Caenorhabditis elegans: one gene and its partner. The main gene of each other region encodes a partner of the protein of the gene in region 2 in a complex. Each region holds a gene or a part of one and is shown on either strand. Other genes may lie near its edges.

The links. Proteins that work in one complex are often made in the same cells at the same time.
Region 1: C46H11.3 (region 2) and arx-4 share a complex: the UniProt entries of both Caenorhabditis elegans proteins name them as parts of the arp2/3 complex.

The regions. Positions count from the first base shown.
Region 1 is NC_003281.10:860,724-867,192, reverse strand, and holds arx-4 (putative actin-related protein 2/3 complex subunit 2), read right to left. Parts: upstream 4,888-6,469; 5' UTR 4,884-4,887; coding exon 4,810-4,883; intron 4,396-4,809; coding exon 4,302-4,395; intron 4,255-4,301; coding exon 4,201-4,254; intron 4,151-4,200; coding exon 3,915-4,150; intron 2,379-3,914; coding exon 1,931-2,378; 3' UTR 1,797-1,930; downstream 1-1,796. Other genes in the region: exos-4.2 (Exoribonuclease phosphorolytic domain-containing protein), read right to left, coding at 6,029-6,469. UniProt on the Caenorhabditis elegans protein: Functions as actin-binding component of the Arp2/3 complex which is involved in regulation of actin polymerization and together with an activating nucleation-promoting factor (NPF) mediates the formation of branched actin networks.
Region 2 is NC_003279.8:5,038,228-5,043,973, reverse strand, and holds C46H11.3 (putative actin-related protein 2/3 complex subunit 5), read right to left. Parts: upstream 2,605-5,746; 5' UTR 2,483-2,604; coding exon 2,410-2,482; intron 2,331-2,409; coding exon 2,215-2,330; intron 2,171-2,214; coding exon 1,919-2,170; 3' UTR 1,882-1,918; downstream 1-1,881. Other genes in the region: C46H11.7 (ShKT domain-containing protein), read left to right, coding at 922-997, 1,047-1,121, 1,165-1,593, 1,640-1,779; lfe-2 (Inositol-trisphosphate 3-kinase homolog), read right to left, coding at 3,209-3,304, 4,035-4,385, 4,771-5,045, 5,130-5,279, 5,336-5,429. UniProt on the Caenorhabditis elegans protein: Functions as a component of the Arp2/3 complex which is involved in regulation of actin polymerization and together with an activating nucleation-promoting factor (NPF) mediates the formation of branched actin networks.

The DNA of each region.
Region 1 (6,469 bases), on a different chromosome or scaffold from region 2:
ACTTGCCCCTGATTCAATTATTCAAGACAGCCCTTCCTAAAGCCCCTTCCAGATTGTTGTAGTTCAGTTTTTTCCTTAATTGTGTTCTCTAGTGAGATCTCTATTAAAATATTCAACCAATCATAATCTAAAAATGTCCATATACATATGATCATTATTAGATTACATACATGTGTTCAGGCGGACCCCTCGCCATTTACCATGACGCGCAAGAACGATTCCCGGAAGTTTCGTAGGGCAAACTGCTAGCGTCCACCTGAATACATGTTCTCCTCTCTCTCTCCTCCGATCCCCATGCATTTCCAGCCCGTCCATGTTTTTCATCCTCGAAATCGGGTAGCAATCGATATCATTCCACAAATTGTGCCTTGACTTTCTCTCCAATATTATTACAATAAATAATTTAATATCAAAATCTCACAAACCTCATAATAAAAAACTTTTCACAATCAAAGCAATGAATAAGGAGGTTTTGAAGCGGAAACAGAAATAAAAAATATTTGGTAACAATTTTGATAATTTGTACATTTATTGGGTTTGAAACATTCTTCCATGGAACGTCTTCCTTTCTCCTTTGACCTCTGGACGTGCTCGATTGAGAACCTTCAAGAAATCAGTGGTCTTGGCACGCATTCTGGTGTGAAGGTAGACTTTGGAACAAATTTAGACAACTTATTATTTTTTTTTTCCAATTTTTTTACAGCCATCCAATAACTGCCATTTATTTAGGCAAAATATTTTTTTAATTTGTACAAAACACTGGAAATTGAAAAAAGACAATTTTTTAGTTCTTTGCGATCAATTATCAGTCCTTTAACTATAAAACTAACCATTTTAGAGCAGTTTCAAAAAAAATCATTTTTTGCCATAAATTGTCATTTTTGCCACTTTCTAATAGTTTTTGATGGGTTAAACCTGGATTTTCTGAATTCAGCATACATGAATTACCCGTTTTTAACAAAATTAGACAACTTTTTATTTTTGCCCAATTTTTTTTCAGCCATCTACTCCTTGTCCTTTTTTTGTGTCCTTTTTTTGACTGTCCTTTTTTTTATTTAGGCAAAAAATTTTTTTTTGAAAAATGTACAAAACTATTAGAAATTGGAAAAGGGCAATTTTATAGTGTCAGAAAATCAATTTTGAGTCATCTTACTATAAAAGTTACCATTTTAGAGCAGTTTCAAAAATGTGATTTTTTGCCATAAATTGTCATTTTTGCCACTTTCTAATAGTTTTTGATGGGTTAAACCTAGTTTTTCTGAATTCAGCATACATGAATTGCAAAAAATTGAAGAAAAAAAATGTGAAGCGTATTTGCAGGACAACTAAAAGATGTGAATGAGTATTTTAGATCATGTGAGAGAACAAGGGAAGTATTTCAAGTTAACCCCGACTTCTGGATGAAATCTATGTTAAAAGAGTACCTCCTAAATAGGCCGGCAAAAAAACACTTTGAACTGGATAAAAATCGAGCTGAATAGTGTTTTTTTTTTCACTACTTTAGAGGCCCGTAAAATTGCTCCAAATGATAATATTTGAAAATTTTTATGATTTTTAGGAGATTTCTTCATTATTACATTACATGTGTTCAGGTGGACTCCTCGTTGTTTGCCATGACGCGTAAACACCATTCCCGCAAGTTTCGTAGGTCAAACTACTAGGGTCTACCTGAATACCTGTTCTCCTCTCTCTCCTCCGATCCCTATGCATTTTCAGCCCGTCCATGTTTTTCTTCTTTGAAATCGGATAGTAATTGATATCATTCCACAAATTGTGCCTTAACTATCGCTCTCCATTTTACTGCAATAATTCATTTCATATCAAAATTTCACGAACCTCATAAGAACATTTTACAATCAAAGCAATAAATAAGGTTTTAAAGCGAAAACAGAAAAAAAATATTTGGTAACAATTGTGATAATTTGTACATTTATTGGGTCTGAAAAGTTCTTCCATGGAACGTCTTCTTTTCTCCTTTGACCTCTGGACGTGCCCGATTGAGAACCTTCAAGAAATCAGTGGTCTTGGCACGCATTCTGGTGTGAAGGTAGACTTTGGAACATTTGATATGATAATGAAGATAGTCACGGAACGAATGAATCAAATCAATCGTATTGTCTTTTGTCTTCTTATTTGTGTGACGTGGGAACAACACAAATGTAATGTATCCAACATTGTCTCCAACACGGGCTTCTGGAAGATCTTTAAGCTCCAAAGGTGGTTCACCGAGTGAGTAGAGTACTGCTGGAGCAGTTTGACTGGCTTTTCGGCCTTCACGGAATTCTTGAAGGAACACTTTTCCGATTATCACATCGTCAGCGTCCTTGAAAACTGTACTGAAGATTACGGTCACACGATCCGCTTTCGCTTCAATGTACCTGAAAATCATTGGGGTTTAAAGTATATTATTTGCAGTATTACAATTAAAAAGTACTGTTTTTCAGAATTTTTTGTTCAAAAAATAAGAAATTTGTGCGTATTGAAAAAGTGAAAAACACTTTTTTATTAATTCTTACTATTTTTCAGAGAAAATGGCAAATTTGTGATTATTATTAGATCTCCAAATAAGTTCCGGGTCAAAAATCATAACTTTGTTCGCTGCGAATCGATTTTTATGAAACTTTGGGAATTTATGTTATCAACCATGATCTTTCATTTGACAATAGTCACAAAATTTTTTGGCCGTCCGAAGTGTCCGTACTCGGAGCCAATTTTTTCAGGCATTTTCAGATCTCGCTTCTTTTCAGGTTTCAACTGAGGTTTGTGTGCGGATATTGCTTAATTAAGTACACAATGTAAGAAAACAAGAAAAGTTTGAAAAAAAATCCGTCCAAAAAAATTTTTTTTGTCGCTCGTCAAAAAATCTACAAAAAAATTTTTGTCGAAAATTCTTGAATTTTTATACAAAAATGATGTAACCATGTGCAAACTATTTTTACACATACAAAACATTTGAGTATGAAATTTGGATCTTGAGAAATACTCCAAAAACTCGAAAATAGTTCGAAAAAGCTGTGTTTTTTGTTATTTTTTTTTAGTGAGACGCACTAAATTGAAATTTTTTGTATGTGTAAAAATAGTTTGCACATGGTTACATCATTTTTGTATGAAAAATTAAGAATTTTCGACAAAAAATTTTTTGAAGATTTTTTGACGATCGACAAAAAAATTTTTTTGGACGGATTTTTTTCAAACTTTTCTTGTTCTCTTACATTGTGTACTAAACTAAGCAATATCCGCACACAAACCTTAGTTGAAACCTGAAAAGAAGCGAGATCTGAAAAATGCCTGAAAAAATTGGCTATGAGTACGGGCACTTCGGACGGCCAAAAAATTTTGTGACTATTGTCAAATGAAAGATCATGGTTGATAACATAAATTCCCACAATTTCATAAAAATCGATTCGCAGCGAACAAAGTTATGATTTTTGACCCGGAACTTATTTGGAGACCTAATAATAAATTATTTATTTGAAAAATTGTAGAGAGTCGATTCAGGGGTGGGCGGAAAACCGGCAAAACGGCAAAGTGCAGGAATTGAAAAATTCCGGCAAACTTGGAATTTTTTCGAAATATGAAAAAATCGAAAATTTTTATATCTTTTGATAGTTAAATAATAAATCAAATTCTCTGAAAATCCACGAAAACTGGAATAAAAACGCCACTTTTCAGCCTTTCTCTGTGAAATTATTTTAATTGAACAAATCTTTATAATATTGAACATTTTTCAACTTTCCTCGTTTAATGGGGTTAATCAAGTAATTTTGCAAAATGTGTTCAAAAACATTTATGACGCCACAACTGTATTAAAATACATGTTTTTATGTATTTTAAAACAGTTGTGGCGTAGTTTTTCTACACTTTTAAATTTTTCGACACTTCTCGAATAACGCCATAACACAACCGGTACTCACATTGTCTCATCATCTCTATAATTAATAACAGCTCTCTTATGCCCCTCCTGGCCGGCCTCTTGGAATTCGAAATACTTTTCAAAGACTGAAGCAAAACAATTTCTCTTCAAAGCAGAAGCTGCCTGCACCAAATCCGTTGTATCTGCCGGAAGATCGGCCAAATTGTATTCCAGAGTGACATTAAATCCTTGTTCCGGAGTTGAACGCATATGACCACCGTACACACGACGAAGGAGCTGGAAATTTTGGAAAATCAAATATTCATCAGAAAAAAGCGGCGACATACATCATCCGCTCCGTGTTGCTGCAGTTCCGTGTAGAATTTTAGCGAGATGCTCAGCTGAAAATTAGTTTTAAAAATTATTAGACTGTGAAAAAGTTTCTAACAATTATCTTGGTTCTATCGCCATCTGGATTCGAAAGTTTGTAGAGAACTCCGTCAAAATCGGCGAATGTCACGTTGACCGACTCTGGTTTTCCACTGAAAAAGGTGATTATTAGTGAGAGTAACAATATATTAAGGTCTCGCCACGATCAAATCATTTTCAATTTAACGCTATGTGCCTTCAAAAAGTACATTACTCTCACACACATCGTTGTTTCTCTGGCACTTCAGTTGAAGAACCATGGAGAAATTACTATACTCTTTATAAAAACATACACTTTTTAAAGCCTGAAAATGCTAAATTCGTGGCGAGACCTATATCTACGGGAAAACCGCACACAAGTTTACTTTTTCTTGGTATTGTTTTCAACAAACGTTTGAAAAAATAACGAAATTTCCGTAATAATTTCGGAAAGGTAATGTTTTTAATTTAAAAATAAAGGAAAATTATGCAGTTATGTTTTCTTTCAAAATTACAAAAATACGTTTAAAATTCAAAAAAAAACCAACCCTTCCTTCGCGTTTGCAAATTTTTGCTCGAGAAGTTCCACGATAATTCGGTTGTTTTGCTCCAAAATGATCATTTTTCTGAAAGTGTAGAAAATAGAGAGAGAAATGTACAAAAACAATTAAAAAGGAATTAAAATACAAAACCGCGACCAGCGACGGAATAAGAAGGGTATTAAATGCATAGAGAATTCTGAATTCATTGTATTTAAAATGAAGGAAAACTGTGAAAACCACGACGGTTGAACAAAATGAAAAGGGAAACAACAACAAAATCAACAAGAAAGAAATGAGAAAGAAACGACGGAGAAGGCAAAAGGGAAGGTGACTAAACAGTATTATATTTACTCAAAGAATCTGTGTGCAGTGGAGCGCTCTTTCCTCCCATTCATTAAAGATGGAAGGGGGTGCATTTGAAGTGAAATCGGGGATAATTAATTGAATTTTTAGAAAATGTATCGGCGAATATCTAATTTAGAAAAAAAAGAAGTTTTCGTCCGATTTTGAAAAATACATTTTCCCGTCTAAATTGAGCGTTTTAAAAATAAAAATTTTTTTTTCGAATTCTTGAGAATTTGAAAAAAAAATCTCAAGCGAAAATATTGAACATTTCCATATTTTCGAGCATGATATTTTGAATATCGGTTTTTTTTTATATTTTAGCTCGAAATCACGAATTTCAAAAATTTGTCAAAATTAACTTTACCGAATTCACAAGTTTAATCCTTTTTAAACTTGTGAATTCGGTAATGTTAATTTTTAATCCTTTTTAAACTTGTGAATTCGGTAATGTTAATTTTGACAAATTTTTGAAATTCGTGATTTCGAGCTAAAATAAAAAAAAACCGATATTCAAAATATCATGCTCAAAAATATGGAAATGTTCAATATTTTCGCTTGAGATTTTTTTTTTCAAATTCTCATTCTCAAGAATTCGAAAAAAATTTTCAAGAATTCGAAAAAAATTTAATGCAAACGAAGATATTTCTTTTTTCCATATTTTTTTTGAGCATGATATTTTGAATATCTGTTTTTTTATATTTCAGCTTGAAATCACGAACTAAAAAATATTTTCAAAAAAAATTTTGTCGAATTCAATTTTATATTTCTATTTAATGTTCAATTTAGACGGAAAAATGTATTTTCAAATAATCGGGCAAAAACTTTTTTTTCTAAATTAGATATTCGGAATGAGAGATAAATTTAAAAATTGTCAACACATTTATTTTCTCTCTCGCACACTGTTCACAATTGCCTTATGAATCGTCGGAACCAGAGCACACGCTCTTTGCTTCGCAAATTCCAAAAGTGATGACGTGGATTTGAGAGGGATTCGTCCGTAAATGTCCACACACGTTGTTTGGCCAAGATTCGGAACGAAAGCGAATGTGACGCCACCGATGGCTCCTTCGGATTCGGAAGTTGATGGATCCGTCAAGCATTCTCCATCAGAATTCATTGCCACATGAACACTGGCCATTAATCCCATATTTTCAATTCCAGAATGAGAAATGGCTAGTGTGACAGCTGAAAGTGCAGTTGAAAGAACACCACCATCATCCGAAAGAACGGTTATCTCGATTTCGATCACTTTTCCAGGATATTTGCTCGCGAAAATCACAGCAGATACTGCAGACGCCAGTTGAGCACGATATTCTGCGAC
Region 2 (5,746 bases):
CTTACATACTAGAACTTTAAAAAAAATTAAATTTATAATTTAAAAATTTAAAAACTTATTAAAAATGAAATGAAGCACCCATTGGAGTACCTATACGTCTATTTTGCTCCCACAAATTAATTACTTTATCAGCGCCTGTAAAAATTATTGATGTTCGGAAAATACAGGAAATTAAAAAAAAAACTATGAAAACGAAAAGCGTTCTAATTAAAAAGAAACTCTGATGATGTTTTGAAAAAAATTATCGCTGACTGACTCAATCCTGTGTTACACTCACTTAAGTTAGTCTGTATTGTACTTTTACATTATCGCAAAAAATAATTTGCCTTTGCCGTGCTCTCAAAAGTTTTTCAAAAGGGAAGGTGGTTTTAAAGATCATCGGCTTTAAATAAAATAAAGAAAGGATCGAATTCTAAAGAAGATTTTACAAGTCAAAACTATAATTGGGCTGATCTATCCGAACAACTTGGTGAAAAATTTTTGCAACGATCTCCTAAAACTGTATACATTTTTTGATGGAAGTGTTGTCCTTCCAACAATAACCAATTTCAATTTGCTTCTAAGGATTAACCGAACAACATGAAATTAAAATACTTTCTCAGAAGATAACTGTCTTTCCCAGAATGGTAAACTTTAAAATTATATTTTTATTGGATGGAACTGCGTGAAAGTAAGGATCGATTTCATAAAAATCTTTCAATCATAACTGTTCCTTTGTTAATTACGAGGGGCATTTTACTAAATTTGAAGCAATTGTTATGCAGAGAGGATTGAAATGTTTGCTTTCAATCCAGGTACTTTTCCATGTAAAACAATGGTCATTCTGTTTCCAAAAATGTAACAGAGACAACTGTTTGCACAGATGGACAGTATCTCACAATATAAAAGCAACTGCTGCAGAACTATAACCATCATTCTATCATGTTCCGTCAATTCATTATTTCATTTGCCATTTTCTCGGTTGCATTTGCTTGCGAAGCTTCTGAATCTGAAGGACGTAAGTAAAGACTGCCATTACTTTTAGAGTTTGAGTTGTTTCATTTCAGCATGTGACGGTGGCATTCTTGTGTGCCAGACACAGGTCTGTGATGTGGCAGCTGGTCAATGTTGTCCTGTAACCAGTAAGTCAACAAGGTTCTTTCAACCGTGACCTATGATTTTTAGCCGTTCCCCTTGTGACTTCAACCACTGCTGCTGTGGTAACAGATTCTGATGGATCTACAGTAACCACAACTGCTTCAGCAGTTACAGTAACCTCAACCTCTACAACTTCGTGTGCTGATCGCCTCAATCCATCTACCGGGGTCTCTGATTGTCCAGCACTTGCCTATCTTTGCAACGACACCACCTACTACACAGTCATGACTCAACAATGTCCAAGAACATGCGGTCGTTGTAACTCAACTACCACAAGCTCCACTAGCTGTGCCGATCTTGTAAACCCATCCACCGGAGTTTCTGATTGTACTGCACGAGCTTCTTTGTGCAATGATTCAGTCTACTATGCCGTCATGACTCAACAATGCCCAAGAACTTGTGGAAGATGTAACTCAAGCTCTACCGTAACTTCATCTTCCTCCACAACAGCTTCAAGTAAGATTAATAATTGTTCATAACGTTCCATGTCTGAACTTTTCAGCCACCTGTGTTGACCAAGTCAACGCAGCTACAGGAGTCTCCGATTGTCCAAACCGTCGTGCATTCTGTACCAATTCTGCCTACGCAACCCTTATGAGAGCTCAATGCCCACTCACTTGCGGATTCTGCACTTCTGGATAATCTTCATTTTTTCTTGAATCATTTTATTTATTTCCTAATATATTTGGTTGTTGTAAATTTGAACTTCTTCATATAAAAAACTTTGGATCTTGGAGTTTTATTGCAGAAATTAACAGATACATGTACCTTCATTAAAAAATTAGAGACGTTGTCGATTGGACAACACTCGAACAATGGATCCCTGCCCAAATTTTGATACCAATTGAGAATGCCACAATAGTAGAGAAAGACACGTGGCAGAATCAGAGCATAGTTGCATTGCTTTGTAAATATACTTCATCAGAATGTCTCCATTTTCATTTGACAGCTTGTGAACTGATTCTTCAATATCGGTCTGTCGAAATGCATGAATAACCTCGGCCACAAGGAGAACAGCACGGTTCTTGAGTTCCTAAAAGGGAAAGAGGTTTGCAAAATGACATTAAAAAATAAAACCTGTTCAGAATGACCAAATGGTGGGTTTAAGAGAACGGATTGAAGAGCATATTCAAGTCGATTTGACTCCAGAAATTGCCGAACCTCTTGCACATTTGGCCCACAATCTGCAGATTCTGAAAAAATTTTCAAAAATTATTTATTGAAATATTATTATTTATTCAAAAATTAATTATTGAATTCAGATTGACTAACCTTCCTGAATATCTTCAAAATGAGCTGGATGAAAAATATCAACATTGTACTTTTTATAGTCAGTGTTGTACATTATCTACAATAGAAAAACATTTCTGAATGAAAACCTAAAAAATGATATAAGAAAGCTTTTTTGAAGTCTCTTTGAAATTTTGAATAAGAGCACCAATTGTCCACTCTTTTGTGAAATTCGAAAACGTTTGTTCTGCTGCATACCAAATTTCATAGATTCTTGTTTCTGAACAATTTTCTTTTAATCCCCAAATAATTGCCATAAGTTTTTTGTTTTGCCTAGTACTTTTCACTAGGCAATCGGCCGATATGCACTGGGAACAATTGCACCTGCTCTAGCTTTTAAAGCAAAGACTTCAATAGATTGTTGTTTGGATCTAAATTGCAACTGGACATTTCAAAAATTTCTCTTCATTTGAGAATAAAAATATACAAATTGTACCCAATCAATTAATCCATTACTCGGATCGTACACAATGGAACAAAAAAAACAACTGAAAGTAAGAAGAAAGTCTAGGGATTATGCCATGGTAAAGGAAAAGAGAAGGGGAAAGCGATAGATTAAAAAGTGAAAATCTATTTTCTTTTTCAAAAAATCTATTTTCTTTTTCAAAAAACCAACAAAAACAAGGACTGGCTGGAGGGGGTGTAAAATTGAATAATAGCAAATTGTACACGGATGAGGATTTTGTGGAGGAGCGGTGGGGAATCACAGAAATTATTATGGCGGAATATGAAGAGACACACACTTTCATCTATCTACAGTAATCCAAGGAGGTAGAAGCTTCTACGATTTCGTATTTTTCATTCTGGCAATCACTTCCTCTGTGACCATTAACTGGTCATCAGGATGTTCTCCGTACTCGGGGAGTTCTTCGAGAATCTGAAAATATTTGAATTATAATTCAACTACTTGGTAACATTTAAAATTTATGAGAAGAAAAATAAATATAGTGTCAAGAATTTGAAAATATATAAATTGATTTTCCGCACCTCTTATCTATATTAGTTACCGAATATTCTCTAATAGTATTAAATCCCACTACTTTATTTTTGCTTTAAAAAATTTTAAAACAATATGAAACACTTTCCAATATTTTTTCCAATTTATTCAAAAATGTTACGGTTTTTATGTCCCCATATCAGTTCTGTGAATTTATTGATCTCAACATCCCCCGGTTATAACTACACTTTTACCTCCATTCTCGTTTTTCTCCCCGTTTCACCTGTTCCCTATTATCTTTTCTTTCTTTTTTTATGTAACTTTTACTCGAGTTGAACTCTTTTAGGGTTCGTCTCGTTTTATTTGTTTATTTCTCTTCTTTTAGTTAAATAAACTCAAATTCAAAAGAAAAATAAATATAGTGTCAAGAATTTGAAAATATATAAATTGATTTTCCGCACCTCTTATCTATATTAGTTACCGAATATTCTCTAATAGTATTAAATCCCACTACTTTATTTTTGCTTTAAAAAATTTTAAAACAATATGAAACACTTTCCAATATTTTTCCGTTAACAATTTTTGTATAGGACAAAAGGCAACTGAGTTTAATAGTAAGGTGCTACATTAATAATATTTAAATAAAAAATTCTAAGAAAACCAAGCTTACCTTGACTAAATTATCGATTCCTATCAAATACCCATCTTCATTATTCCCAGGTATCCACGTCGTCCGATGGTTTAGTGTTCGTCCATTAGGAACCGGTGAACTCTTTGCAAAGTCAATCATCCAGCATCCCACTTTTTCCGTATCAAAAACAATCAGAATACTGCTTCCGACGACTTCATGTGAATTGAAGAATGATGAATGTTCGATGGCTTTTCGCATTGATTTCAGTCGTTCAATTAATTGTTGTCTTACACGGCTTCTTTGAGTTCCAAAGAAGTCCATAAATGTAGTTGTGACATCTTCAACTGTTCGTACTTTTTTGAAGTTTTTCTCCAATGCGCCTTCGAGCCTCTGGAAATAAATGCGATGTTGAAGAGTTTAGGGTTTGAAGAAAACTTGTTATGTTAACATTTAGAATTCTAAATATACCCATGAATTGGATGGAAAAACATATGTTTTATAAAGATTAAAGCTTTGAGCACTGCGGAAGTCAGGTACACAGCTGGAGCTCTAATTTGAGCCAAGTAAGGACCAAAAACTTCAACAATAGAGTAGCCGGTCTCGACACGATCACATATTTAAATATGAACGAGTGTGCGCCTTTAAAAAAACTGTAGTCTTCAAACCTCTCTATTTTGCAATTTTTTAAAGTGAACCGTGGAAACTGCTGTACTTTTTAAAGGCGCATACATTTTAATTTTTATATATACGGCCGGTTCGAGACCCATTCACATACCTTGGCTGCCTCAATTCGAAATCCGAGCTGTGCAGTGCTGCTCTCTCGTTCCCTAAACTGCATGTATCGTAATTTTGTGATTGCTCCACACTTTCTCTCCTCTTCTGTCGGCTCGTCATTATCAATCGCAACCATTTTTTCGTAAAGATCAGCCCGTTTTTTGGTGTTTGATACTTCTGATTCCAAAAATGTCCTTGTTCCGATTTTGATGTCCATAATTGCGGTTTTTGTGGGGTCATGGAACTGTTGCAGGAGATCTTCGATTTCGATAAAATCTGAATAAATAAAAATATTTAAATTATATGAAAAGTTCAGAAAAGTTTGGAAATTTGTCATTATTTCAAAAAAAAAATGCTTACGCTCTTCATTTTTCTCCAGTTCATCATAATATTTAGGTGTGAATCCATCAAGTGCTGGGTCTTTTGAAATATTCTTATAAGCTCTTCCTTCTCCACAATTTGCACACTGTTTCTTGTATAACGTATGAGGCGTGGCGGGTACAATGCTTCCTGTAAAACTTTTCAGTTACTGATTTCCGTCATTTCATCTCTGGTTCGACACAAACCTTCATGTCCTGATAACTGCACCCATTTCTTGAGTCGTTCTTTCAGCCAAACATCCATCGGCAACGCTGTGATGGCCATAGTCTCGACGGATACCTGAAATCATCATGTTGTACATTCCTTCAATATTACTTGTTCTGATTATAACCTTTCATTTTTAGTTTTTTTTTTCGCTGCTTAACAATAAGCCAATAAATTTTGTAATAGTGTTAGTATAAAGCGAGTAGGACGACAGGAAATCAATCCGATTAGTAGGACGAAAATATCAAATGTGACACGAGACATGACGGTTTGAGAAAATATTAGTGCGTCATTGATAATTACAATGCAGTACAAAAGAGTTTCAGCTTACAGGTAATTGCAAAATCAAGTGTAGGAAATGAAGAATAGAGAGAAAGAACAAAGCAAGAAAA